Coturnix japonica: one gene and its partners. The protein of the gene in region 3 binds, or shares a complex with, the protein of the main gene of each other region. Links are inferred from orthologs where the notes say so. Each region holds a gene or a part of one and is shown on either strand. Other genes may lie near its edges.

Region 1 (4,137 bases), on a different chromosome or scaffold from region 3:
GAGTGCTCCAGGGAGTGCATTTAACTGACAATCTGAAAGAAAAGTCAGCTGTGGGAGTACAGACTGAGAAAGGGTGGAGGAAATCAGCTCCACTTCTAGATCGAGCTCTGTAAATTACAAGATCTTAATTACATTAAATACATTATGGTACCGTATGCACATTTCTAGTCAGGCAGGAGTGGAGGAAATGTGGCTGGCTGCTAAGGCTGGAAGCTGCACTGCTGTGCTTTAGACTTGATCTTCAATTCAGAAAGTTTCTTAACCACTTTGTCCTAGTTTAGTCATCCACAAAACAAAGGCAATAATCCCTTCTTCACAGGGGTGATGAGAGGTTTAATTAATTAATGTTTACAAAGCCCACTGAGATTTCTGACTGACACTTTAAGTCATTCAGAATACCACTTCATTGCATTTGTTCCTTCTGCTGCCCCACTCGAACATCTCCGCATTAAGATATCCAAAGGAAAAGATGGAAAGAAGAAATAGAGATAGGTACCCAACAATGAATGCAGCATTTCTAGCCCACTGCTGCCCATCAGCACACTGAGTGCTGCCTTTTCTGCAGGCAAAGAACTCTGTGTTTATCCAGACACCTGCTGCCCTTTCTTCGCAGATCTGTTACGCTCACATCTCTGCCGTTTTTGCCTCGGAGCACCGTGTAGGTGAGCAAGGTGCTGGATGGCAAAAATAGCAGGCGATTGAGTCGGGCTGACCAGACAGACAGAGGCAGCGAGGGGGATAAGAGCAGAGGGATGAAAGCCCCCGAAGAGAACCAGCAAGTGAGAAAAGAGGCAGAGAGAGAGGCGAGCTGAACGTGGGAGCGCCCATCACAGCCGGGGGACTGCACGCACCGCGCTATTCCGTGCAGCGCGTTCCCAGGGACGCTCAGGTACACGGGAGCACGTTATTTCGAGAGCAGCGCAGCACGAACGAGGCCACACATGTGTCCAAGTGCCGGAGAGAAACTGAGCTCTGGGCACCGTAGACGGGCGGCACAGCCGGAGCTGCGGACACCTGAGCCGGGATGTCTCGGTCCCGACATTGTCCCCGGCTCGGAGCGAAACCTTTGTGCGGGCAGTTTCTGTAGGGGGCGTTTGTGGGTTTTCAGATACAATCAAAACGCAGATAAATGCAAATGTCATTCGGCTCCCTTTCATTGTCAGGGAGGACACATGAGGATAAAACGTTGTGCTCTACGTCCTTTCCCCTATTATGCGTCCTACCGCTTTTGTCCTAATTTATCCCGTGCATAATTTATTTACGTGCGTATTGTTTCCCCAACCAGCAACTTTAAAGAATGAGTGGAAATTATAAAATGTTTTATTAAACAACTTCTCGATATAAAAACGCAGGTGGTGCCGGGCAGTCCGTGCCGGTCCCGCTTCCCCCGCTCAGCAGCGCAGCACTTGTGCAGGCAGAGAGACGAGCTGCCCATTGTTCGCGCTCTCCCACGCCGCGCGAGAGGAGCCGAGCTCCGCTGCCCTCCCGGCTCAGCCTGGCGGGGCCGGGGCGGCCCGTTCTCCCCCACCCCCCGGGGCTCCCGGGGAGCGCTGCCCGCTGAGAGCGGCTCCGGAAGCCGGGCGAGAACTGCGAGCGGGACGGAGCGCCCGGGGCATCAGCGCGACAAGTTGCTGCGGGCGGCGCGGGTCCAGAGAGCGGCGGCGGCGGGTGCTGAGCCCCGGGATCCCCTTAAAGGAGCGCGGGGCACCTGCACTGCCGCTGCCCGCGGCCGTGTGGGCGCTGCGGAGCGCACGCGAAATGAAAGCGAAGGTTTTCTGCCAGGACGGAGCGGGAGAGCCGGCAAACGTGTCAGCACCTTTCCGCAGCCCGAGGCTCATCCTCCCCGCAGACTGCGGAGAGACGGCGGCAGGAGTCCCCGGAACCACCTCCGAGCGGTTTGCCAACTCCAGCCGGAGGGACGCGAGTCAAAAACCAACAAAAAAAGAAACAGAAGAAAAGAAAGCGGAGCCACATCCCGCAGCCCTCACTTCGGCTCCGGACTCCGTTCCGCGCTGCTGAGAAGTGCGGGGAAGCGCCGCCGCCAGGTGTCCGCGCTGCGCTGCGCTCCGTCCGCGGGAGCGCTGCCCCGGGAGGCACAACTCTCCCGCGGGAGGTTACGCGGCGCCGGGTCGCGCTCTCCCTAATGCCCCGGGATTAGCCGCGCGCCGGAACCCGAGGGAAACGCCAGAGGAGAGCAGGGGGGACGGCGAGCGATCCCGCGTCCCTCTTAGGACGGGGACCCGGGTGGCGGCGGCAGCCGAGTCGCCCTCCCGCCCCCGGCGCCCGCTCCCGAGCCGCGAGCGGCACCAACTCCCCGCCGCTCGGAGCCTTCCGCGCAAACGGCGCCGCTGCCCCGCGCCGCACCCCGCACCCCGCGGCTCGTCGCTCCCCGCCGCCCGCCCCGCCCCGGCCGCCGCCGGACCCCGCGGGACGCCGCCAGGTGCGGGTGCGCCCCGACCGGGGCCGCAGGACGCGCCGCCCGCCCGGAGCCGCCGAGCCGGGGCCGCGCGAGGAGGCGGGGAGCCGGGGCCGGGCGAGGCGGGAGGGCGGCCGTTCTCGTAGCGGAACCACGCGGAGCGTGTGCGGGTCTGAGCCCTACTTACGCTTTCAGGGGGTTGTGAATGACAGTCGCCATTTTGCTACAATGTAACAGAATATTGTGTCTCGGAGTTCTAAAGGTTCGCTCAGGGGAAGCGCCCGGCCAATCGGCGCGGGTCGTGCCGGCCCGCCGCCCAATCGTGCTCCGCGGGCGGGGCCGTAGCGCTGCTAGTTATTAGGGGAGCTGTCAAAGCCCAGAGGTCGCTCCTGCCTGTGGAGCGGGCGGCGAGCGGCCCTTAAAGGGGCAGCGCCCGCGCGGGGCACGCGGCCGGGCGGATCCTGGCAGGGGCCGCCCCCGGGGACACCGCCCCGCCCGCCGCCCTCCCGCCGGGCCGGCACCGCCATCCGCCCGGCCCCCGGGAGCCGCTTCCCCCCCCCAGGAATTTCCCTCCCGCGTCGGGTGGCCGCGGCCCCGAGCCCTTACATAACCGTAACGACCGGCCGCGATGACCGACACGCCCCGCCCCGGCCGCTCCCGGGACGGGACGGCGGCGGGGGCGAGTCCCGGGAGCCCGCGGCCACCTGCCGCTACACGGAGTGCTCGCAAGGAATTGGGAAGAGCGGCAGAGCGCCCGAAGGAAGCGGCGGGCTGGAACTCCGCGCCACTCGGAGTACAGCGCCGGAATGGAACGGGCACGGTCCGAGCCAGCAGCTCCCGCCCCGTCCCTCCCGAAGGACTCCCCTCCCTTCGGGCACCTCTGTCCATCCAGAAACAAGCAGCAGCCTGCCTCTCCAATCCTCGCATTCATAAAACTGGAGGAAACTCAGCTACACGCAGTTAAATCATTCCCATCGCAGGAGCAAGATAAGCCTACAGAGGGTAGCCCGATCCACAACTTAATGAAAGAATGGAAGTAAATGTTTGAGAGATGTTCAGGTGTAACACAGAGAAAACAGCAATCGTTGAGCTCATGGGATGAGCTTTGCAAGGGCAGAAAAACTAAATCTCTCCCAACTGTTTGTCAAAATAAAACTTTCTAATGTGTGGGCAGCAGAGAAAAGGCTGAGAGATGAACAACAGAGAGGTACAGAAATTATTACATGCAGATAAGGGGAAAGAGCAGTGCATCACTTTCCCAGTCATGCAGGATTCAGCAGCTTTGCCAGAGTCCCCTTTCCCAAAGCAGCACCTGCTGCAGCTCCAAGGCCAACCTGCCCACTGTGTGCTCCCGGAGGGAACCATCTTCCCCTATCTGAGACACTTGGTTACAGGAGAAATAAGCTTCCTGTCAGCTGGAGAGTTGCCAGACTGCCGAGATGTATCCTAACCACGGTTCTGGGAAGCAATCTTCAAGAACGTTTCCATTATCATATTGCATTATATTATATGGTATAGTAGTGGTCCAGGTGACATTGACTGTAACTGCAGAAAGCCCTGTTCGGTACTCACACTGTTCACAGGAAAAGCTAACCACAAACTGCCGAGCTCTCACAAGCACACGATGCTGCGCATGCTGCACAAAAATGAATGGGTCTGAATGCAGCTCAACTGGTGACCCTCGACCAGTGACCTGAATCACGTCCCACTGCCACAAAGAT
Region 2 (4,048 bases), on a different chromosome or scaffold from region 3:
ATCTTTTACATGCTTAATTGGTGTGAATTTCCACATATGCTCCTGGAAGGGGCTGAGTTTGGTCGTTGACTATTAGTCTTGTTCTAAGTACTGCAGTGCTCAGGCGGGTGAGTAAGCGCTGAATTCAGCAAGCAGCTTCTCAGGGCAAGGACAAGAAGAACGTGCCCTGGAGCATGGCTATTGATAACGGGCTGTAGAAGACAACAACGGCGAGGGCTAATAAGAGTTAAGGTAGATCCGCGAGGCACAGATCCTGCGGAATGTGGGAAAGGAGCTCTGACACCATTTCTATTGTTACGAGCTCCATGTAAACGTTTCCTAAGGCTGGCGGTGTTATCCCTGAACGTGCCCGGGGCTGTGCAGACGGGCTGTACGGAGCGGTGCCCAGGCTGAAGGCGCGGGCAGGAGCGCTCTAGGGCTTCGGTGCCGGCCGCGCGGCAGCTCCCCGCCATCCACGGCGGCCCGAGGCGGGGGACTGCGGTCCCCGCGTGGGAGTGGCTTCGCGCTTTGTTCTCCGGTGCGGTGCGGGCGGGGCCGCGTGCGGGCCGAGGCGCGGAGCGGACGGGGGCTCTCCTGCCAGGTACGGCCGGGGGAGCGGCGACGGGCGCGGCCGGAGGGGGTGCGGGTTGACGGCGGCGCGTTCGCTCCTTCCGCGCAGCGGCGGGGCCGGCTTCAAGCGCCCTCCTCGGGGGGGAGAGCGCTCGCACCGGCTTCCTGCGAGTGCTCCCCCCCGCCCCCCGTACACCCCTCCTGCGCTGGTGGATGGTTCACAAACGTAGCTCGTCCCCGGCTGACGCGCCGGAGACGGAGCAGCCCAGCCCTGCAGGGGCCAGCTCCCGCACCGGACGGCGGCGGCGGCGCTCGGCGCCCACCACGCCGTGGGGATGCTGCCCCTGCGCGCCGCGCTGCTACCCAAGCGCTGCCGAGGCGGATCGGCCCCGCGCTCGCGGTTGGGCCGCGCGGCCGCTCGAGCGGCGGCGGCTGCGGCGGCCGGAGGAGGAGGAGGAGGAGGAGGAGGGCGCGGCTGCGGCGGCGGTAGCGGCGGCGGAGCGGCGTTGCCGGGCCCGCGCGGCGTTGCGGGCGGGGCGGGCCGCGTGCCGGTCCGGCGGCGCGGGCCGGGGTCGCCGCGGGCAGCCCGGAGGGGGGCGGAGCAGGAGCTGCGCGAGGCGCCGCGCTCGTGCCCGGGCTGGCCGGTAGGGGCCGTTGCCACCCCCCGCAGGGGGAGGGGGGGCGGAGCCGGGCGCGGCGCGAGGCCGGGGCGCGCGGCGGCGGCGCTTCTCCTCGCCCAGCCGGCGGCGGCCCCCGCGGCGCTCATGGCGGCCGTGCTGTCCCCGCGCCTCTGCGAGAGCGACCCGGCCACGCCCGGAAACCAGTCCCTGAAGGTGAGCGCGGCGGGCGGCCCGAGGCTGCGGCCGGGCGGCGGGAGGCCTCGGCCGGCGCCCCCCCCCCCCGCGGGGCTCCGCTCTGAGCCCGGGCTCTCCTCGCGGTGGGGCGCCCGGGGGTGTTGGCGGCCTCCCGCGGCTGCGGCGAAGTTGTGGCGCGGGGTCGGGGCCAAGCGCCCGTGCGGCCGCCGTGGCTCCTCTGAGCGCCGCCCGTGCCGGACCGCCGCACCACGCCAAGTTTGGGGCTGGCTGCGAGCGGCCCCGCGGGCACGGCTCGTTGGGCACTTTTGGAGGAGGTTTGGGTAGTTCCGGCTGCCAGTTACAAAATAAAGCGTCGTGGCGGAGCTCTGGAAGCTGATTGGCGTACGGAGACTTCGCTCTGTAACTTTAAAGAGCCAACCAACAGGCAGCAGTGCGGCTGTGCTGGGCGTGCTTCTGCCAGGCGGGGAAGGAAGAGGAAGGCAAGGCCTGTTTCGGCTGAGCTTTTCTGACTGAACTGTCGTGTTCTCACTTGTTTGCCGAGTCCTTTGCACCGTCCTGCCTTGTTTCCTTGCGTGTTTTGTGTTCGTCTGCGGAGCAGTTTCTTCTTCACTAGGAGAGTGGTCAGGCCCTGGAACAGGCTGCCCAGGGAGGTTGTGGATGCCCCGTCCTTGGAGGTGTTCAAGACCAGGTTGGACGGGGCCCTGGGCAACCTGATCTAGTAAAGGTGTATGTTTGGTGGCCCTGCCAGGCAGGGGGGTTGGAACTACATGATCCTTGAGGTCCCTTCCAACCCGGGTCATTCTGTGATTCTGTGAGCGAAACTAAAAGCGGAGGAGGCAGAGGCAGCTGTCCCTCCTGCGGTGTGGGTGCTTATGTACTATAAACACGGTGTTCAGAAAGGGAAAACTTCGATGCAGTAAGAGAAAACCGGTGCAATACTTTGAAGTTTCTTGTCAGCTTTGCTATAGGAAACATAGCTTTAGTAGTTATGTCCATCAGCTCTAAACTCTACAGTGCATCAGGGTGCTGTGTGGGAGAAAGGAATGAGCTGTGGACTTATATTAGTTGTAGCAAAGAGCAGTCTCAGTCCAGCTTCCAACTGAGGAAGTAAGAGAGTTGCAAAGCATACCTGACAAAATAAAAGAAAAGCGGTTTCTTTTCCCATACTTATAAATACAATCCAAGTGGAAATTTGAGATCCAGGTCAAACAGCCTGGACCAAAATTCCCCAGTAATGGGACCATATGGAAACTAAATGACTTTCTGTGCCCGGCAAAAGCTGACCAACTAAATCAAATCAGCTCAGGGCTGATACTAACTTACAAAAAATATATATATCTACAATTACCTGCTTTGCTTGAAAGCTGTTAATGCAGCCATCCAAAAGGGTACTTTAATTCAGTGACAATCAGTATGAACATTTTGAACATTGCATTTTATTATTCTTTTGAACTGGCATTTATTTTAATGATATTTTCATACTAGTCCATGGTTTCTTTTATTTGAGGTAGTTTTGTTCTTGGATCTACTGCTGCTCACTATGTGCAGCTTGCTCGACTGCTTTGTTTTCTGTTTCTCACTTGTAGTCATGTAACTCTGATCACTAGATGCTTTGAGATCTGTTGCTAACAAGCAAAGAATAGGTATGAGTCATATAGTGTTATTAGTCAGTAGCTTTAGGGTTATTTTCTTAATCCCTTCATTGACAAAAAGCTTTTGCTACTCCATCTTTTCATAAGTTGTCTATCAGTTCTTACGTTTGCTGTGTAAACTATCCTGTCAGTTTTGTGTAGAGACTATTGTTGAACAGCTCAGTCCTTCAGGTATGTCTAAACTTCATATTAGAATGTTTTTGATGTTTTAAATTACCCGCTGAATGCTTTAAATTGATAAATATCTGTTTTCATCTTTGTTTCAGGATGACACTGAAGAAAATTCCAATGATGGCAGCCAGCCGTCGAAAAGACGGCGGATGGGCTCAGGGGACAGTTCTCGGAGCTGTGAGACTTCTAGTCAGGACCTCGGGTAATACAGCCTTTTATTGCTAGTCTTACTGTTTCATTTGATATGCTGAAGCATTAGCTCTTCTCCGTTCTTTCATGTTCTTTGTTTAACTGTTTGAATTGAGTGGTGCAAGTAGCTATTGGTCTTTTTCTCCCAGCATTCTTTGATTTCTTCTGATGTTGTTCTTACGCTCAGATACAGCTATTTTCCTGCTGAAAACCTGATAGAGTACAAGTGGCCGCCAGATGAAACAGGGGAGTACTATATGCTTCAGGAGCAAGTTAGTGAATATTTGGGTGTGACTTCCTTTAAAAGAAAATATCCAGGTATATATATATGTATTTAAAAGTCTTTCTTCTAAAAATCTGCCTTTTTAGGTTTTAAATGTAATCTCTGTGTCTTTTTGACCACAGAATGGTCCATTTAATTAAAATATCATAGCAAAAGTGAATCTCTATTCTGTATGTTCAACTTTGTGATTTTGTTACTGGCTTTTTGAAAATATATCCTACAGATTTCAAGTAGGAATTCTATGTAATTTAAGACTTTTCAGTCTTGCCACTGAAAAATCTATACAAAAGAATGAATTGAGTGTTAGATCAGTAAGTAGCTTTTGAAGACTGACCCCAGCTTAATTCCAAAGTATTTAGTTGGTGATTTCTTACTGTAAAGCTGGCCTT
Region 3 (4,258 bases):
ACAAGGGCAGCCTGAAGTGTACTGCTGGACAGTAGAAAACACATCAGGAAAAAACATATAGGCATAAAGGTGGTCATTAAAGCTGAATTTATCCATAACAGTTCTGGAAATAGAGCAGAGGGGCGAAAGTGACAGTGAAGGATGATGAAGCCTGTGCAAAAAATCCCTCTTCCCACAGATACAGCGTGTGAGGCCCTGATCAACAGACCAGGAGTTAGAGAAATCTAAGGAATAACTGAAAGAAAGGCGGTCTTTTGAAAAGAACTGCTCAGCAGAGGTGTAACAAACTACTCCAGCAGGGCGAAGTATCACACCTGAGGCTTCTCACCACTGAGATCTGACAGCACAGAGGGATCCTATCTGAACCACACAAAGGGAAGAAGATCTCTTCTGAGCTGGCAGCATGGGAAAGAACAAAGGCAAGATGAAACACACAAGAGCAAAGGGCGAAGTGACCTTAGCAGAGAAACACATGTTTTCAGAAAGATCAAATAAACCCAAAATCTAACAGCTCTCAGTAAATAGTGCAAAATTCTCCTTTCTATTTAATTCTTCAAACAGTACATTTTTTTCTCATGGCATTCTATCCCTGCTTATACACTCCCATTTCTGAAAATGAAACAATAACGATAACAATACCTGCAGTAATCAAGAGAGATCATTTTGCCAAAGAGAGAACAAAAAAACCCAGTAATCTGAAGAGGAGATTTTCCCTGGAGTGGAGGCATAACCTGATTCCAAGGCATGCTGGAAAACTTTACTCTTCAACTTGAATCTTCAAGGAATTGATTCAGATGCAGACAGGCCGCGTGCGGTGATGAGGCTGCAATATCTGCACTCGGGGTAACGGCTCGTTCTTTTATTCGATAGGATATGTAAACAGGTAAATGAAGTTGCAACTTTGGGTCTTTTGTAAGCAATGGAAGACTGGCTGCCTCAACCTGTTTTGACCAAAATGAGCCTGAGGTCAGGAAGAAACTAGAAGTGAAGAACAAACACGGAAGCAAAAGCAGAACCAAAGGAAATAATCATGGAGGGGCGCAGAGGGTCCTACAAGAGGAGCTCAGGCAAAGAGTGATGGACAAGAAGCTCTGTTTCCCCTGACAGGCAGTGGAAAGGTAACAACCAGATGCAGGTACTCAGGCAATGTGGATACCAAGTGAGACGCCTCTCATGGAGAAACAGGCAGTGCAGACAAGTCAGACTTTTCTAGCACCCAAATAACTAATGGAAACAAGTTCTGCTGCATTAATTCTGGTATGAATTAACATTTCTCATGCTTAAGAGGCCAGCAGGCTCCTTTCACATCTACATGGGAAAGAAGCAGGGTCATCCAACTGTCTTAGCAACTCTTGGAAATACCAAAGGAAGAGCAGTGTTGTGCCAACAGAAGCCTTGGAAAAAGAAACAGCTACCCTCGTGCACAGCCCTCCCGGGATGCCTGCGGCCACCCAGCTACAGCCACCCTGAGCCAGACCATCTTAACCAACACACGTGTTCACAGCACAGCTACTGCCACAGATCCGCACACCTGCTTCTGTCATATCTGCCCATCCAGCCACAGACTGCTGATGTACATCGGCACCGCTCTGCCTGCTCACTGCTCTCAGGGAGCAGAATGCCATCTAAAAGTCCTTCACCCTGCAAGCTCATCATAGCCAGGCTCTGCAGTACACAAGAAAGATCCAATACATTTGGAGCAAGCCTGAATTATGGGGACAACCCAGAGGCCTGCAGCGAGCTCCCGAGATTCCTTTGTACAGGAACACGCAGCGGATGTCTTCAAAAAGGTGTCACAGAAGGTGCCAGAACGCTCAGGAGAGAAAACACGCAGGGACTGTCTCCATCTGAGCTATATCTGCGTTTCCTGGGTCTTATTTCCTTAAAAGTGTATCAGCACGAGACATCCGAATGCTATAAATGGTGGTCGCTTTCAACCATCAGTCATTTAAAGAACATCGTTTCTCCTGGCAGCAAAACAAGGTTAGCGTATCCCCTTAAATGGAGATCAAAAACCTGATTCCTTAAACAAAAGCTGGCGATTTTTTAAAGACCTGAGTGATTCCTTTAATTAAGCGCGGCAACCTGACGTTCCCTCGTGGGTGAGCGCCCATCGCCTGGCAGAGATCCGCAGCGCTAATCTCTCCAAGCCCCTGAAAGTCACCTGTTAAGTAGCCAGCGGATACATCAGAGCCAAGGCTGGAGACGAGAACCAGAGGCAGCGCCACACGGCCGCGTCGGACCAGCATCAGAATTGCTTTTCAAAACACAAGTTTGCTTACAGAACAAAGTGTCCTACGAGCCCGTTTGGGTCAGACGCGGTGCAGATCCCGCACCGTGACGAGGCTCGGGAGCACGCTATTCACCAAGCACGGAGAATCAAAGCAGCAATCACAGCACGCAACCCCCCAGACAAAGCCGTATAGCAACGAATCGGTCACATCGTGTGCACCGGCGGCCCCGCGGCTCCCGGGCGAGGCGGGGAGCGGCGCCCCACGGGCGCGCAGCAGGGGCCGCTCCAGCCCGGCGCAGCCTCCGCTCTGCACTCATCCCTCGATCCGGAGCCAGCAGCTCGCTAACTTTCCCGACTCACCACCCCATGGACCAGAAACTCAAAAAGTTTGCTTTTCGTAGCTTTGCGAGCCCCTCCTGTAACTTCGTCTGTAGCCATCGGGGTCTGCTCAGCCTCTCTCACTCTCTCTCTTCCTCTTTCTTTCCCTTTTCTGCCTTTTTCTCCAACTCTCCCCTCTGAGTCCTGCTGGGCTCTCACACTTCTAATAGCGCGGAGTGGGGAGGGGGCCCCTTCAGGGCCTTCCTGACGGCCCACTCGCGCTCGGCCTCAGCTGCTGCATTCCTCCACTGATAAGCCAGAAATAGTTTGCGCTGCCGGGCTCTGCGTGTTTACTCTGCGGGGACAGAAAATCCCGCTTTTTAAACCTCTCTGTCCAAACACCCGAGATAAGAGCCAGGCAGATTGAAAACACGTCCCGGCCTTTCGCGGCGGAGCCGCAGCCGCTCCTCCTCGGCGCAGGGGATGGTAAATTCTGGGGCAAGGGGGAGGGGGCGGCCTCGGCTCCCGGGGAGTTTTCCCATTACAATATGCGGCGGGAGAGCGGGGAGAAACAATGGCTCCCCCCGTTCGCAGCGCTCCGCCCGCGCCGCGCTCCAGGCCCCGTCCCCGGGGACCGCCGGCAGCGGGCAAACATTCGCTGGCGGCGATTCCAGCGCCAGGATGAGAACGGCCCCTGCGGCGAGAAGAGGCGGCGGGAGGCGGAGAGACGGGAGCGGGCAGGGACGGAGCGGGGGAGAAGGGATGGGGGGCGTGCGAGCAGCGGGGGCGGCATAGCGGCATAGCAGCACGGCAGCACGGCAGTATGGCAGTATGGCAGTATGGATGTATGGCAGCACGGCAGTATGGCAGTATGGCAGTATGGCAGTATGGATGTATGGCAGTATGGATGTATGGCAGTATGGCAGTATGGCAGTATGGATGTATGGCAGTATGGCAGCATGGCAGTATGGCGGCGGCCCCGCCCGGGGCGATCTGTCCGGGGCTCTCCGGCCCCGCTACGCCCCGTGTGACTGACGGCTGCAGACGCCGCGATCCCCGCAGCTCGCCGTTGTGCTGCCGCAGCTCGCGGCTCCTCGTGCACAGCCCCGCGCGGCACCACGAGACCCCGCGGCCCATCGGGGGGGAAGGGGCCTCTGCAGCGCTTCTCGGCGGCCCCTCCGTGATGGAGAGCAGTAATAACGGCTCTGCGGTGCACAGCGGCAATAACGGCTCTGCGGTGCACAGCGGCGGGGCCGCCTCCATGACGGCACAGCGGCGTGGCCGTGGGGCTCTGCTCACCGCGGTGTGTGCGGCTGGAGGGGGCGGCTGCCTCCCGTCCGCCTGATACATTGATAGAGGTGTTGCCAGAGGGGTTTGTTCTGTTCCTCTCCTTGAGATTGATGTCTATAGACTCTGAATTTTTTGGCAAGGCTGCAAGTAGAAGGGAATCAGAAGGGAACCTGAATTGAATAAAATCGCTGCTCTCACCCAGTGGTTAAAAACAAGCACCAAAAAGACACTGAATCGGGCAGCAGCGAGGAGCAGCCCATGGCGAACACACGGCATCGTGTGCGCGGGGACTGAGGAGCAGCCTCTGCTGATGTTCAAGGTGACCCCGGCCCAGGCAGCGCCGTGTAGGATAGCGCAGCAATGACAGCGTTTGGGCGTGTGGGGGCTGCTCTCAGCGCCCTCCCCCTTCCGCTCCCT

What was found. The genes of interacting proteins can lie anywhere in the genome.
Region 1: SMARCD3 (region 3) and DPF3 share a complex: the UniProt entries of both Homo sapiens proteins name them as parts of the BAF complex. The link is inferred for Coturnix japonica from reciprocal best matches to the Homo sapiens genes SMARCD3 and DPF3.
Region 2: SMARCD3 (region 3) and PHF10 share a complex: the UniProt entries of both Homo sapiens proteins name them as parts of the neural progenitors-specific chromatin remodeling complex. The link is inferred for Coturnix japonica from reciprocal best matches to the Homo sapiens genes SMARCD3 and PHF10.

The regions. Positions count from the first base shown.
Region 1 is NC_029520.1:23,752,086-23,756,222, reverse strand, and holds the start of DPF3 (zinc finger protein DPF3), read right to left. Parts: upstream 2,801-4,137; 5' UTR 2,636-2,800; coding exon 2,604-2,635; intron 1-2,603. UniProt on the Homo sapiens protein: Belongs to the neuron-specific chromatin remodeling complex (nBAF complex).
Region 2 is NC_029518.1:36,956,319-36,960,366, forward strand, and holds the start of PHF10 (PHD finger protein 10), read left to right. Parts: upstream 1-1,248; 5' UTR 1,249-1,313; coding exon 1,314-1,382; intron 1,383-3,282; coding exon 3,283-3,389; intron 3,390-3,563; coding exon 3,564-3,694; intron 3,695-4,048. UniProt on the Homo sapiens protein: Involved in transcription activity regulation by chromatin remodeling. Belongs to the neural progenitors-specific chromatin remodeling complex (npBAF complex) and is required for the proliferation of neural progenitors.
Region 3 is NC_029517.1:105,896-110,153, forward strand, and holds the start of SMARCD3 (SWI/SNF-related matrix-associated actin-dependent regulator of chromatin subfamily D member 3), read right to left. Parts: upstream 2,801-4,258; 5' UTR 2,672-2,800; coding exon 2,594-2,671; intron 1-2,593. UniProt on the Homo sapiens protein: Involved in transcriptional activation and repression of select genes by chromatin remodeling (alteration of DNA-nucleosome topology).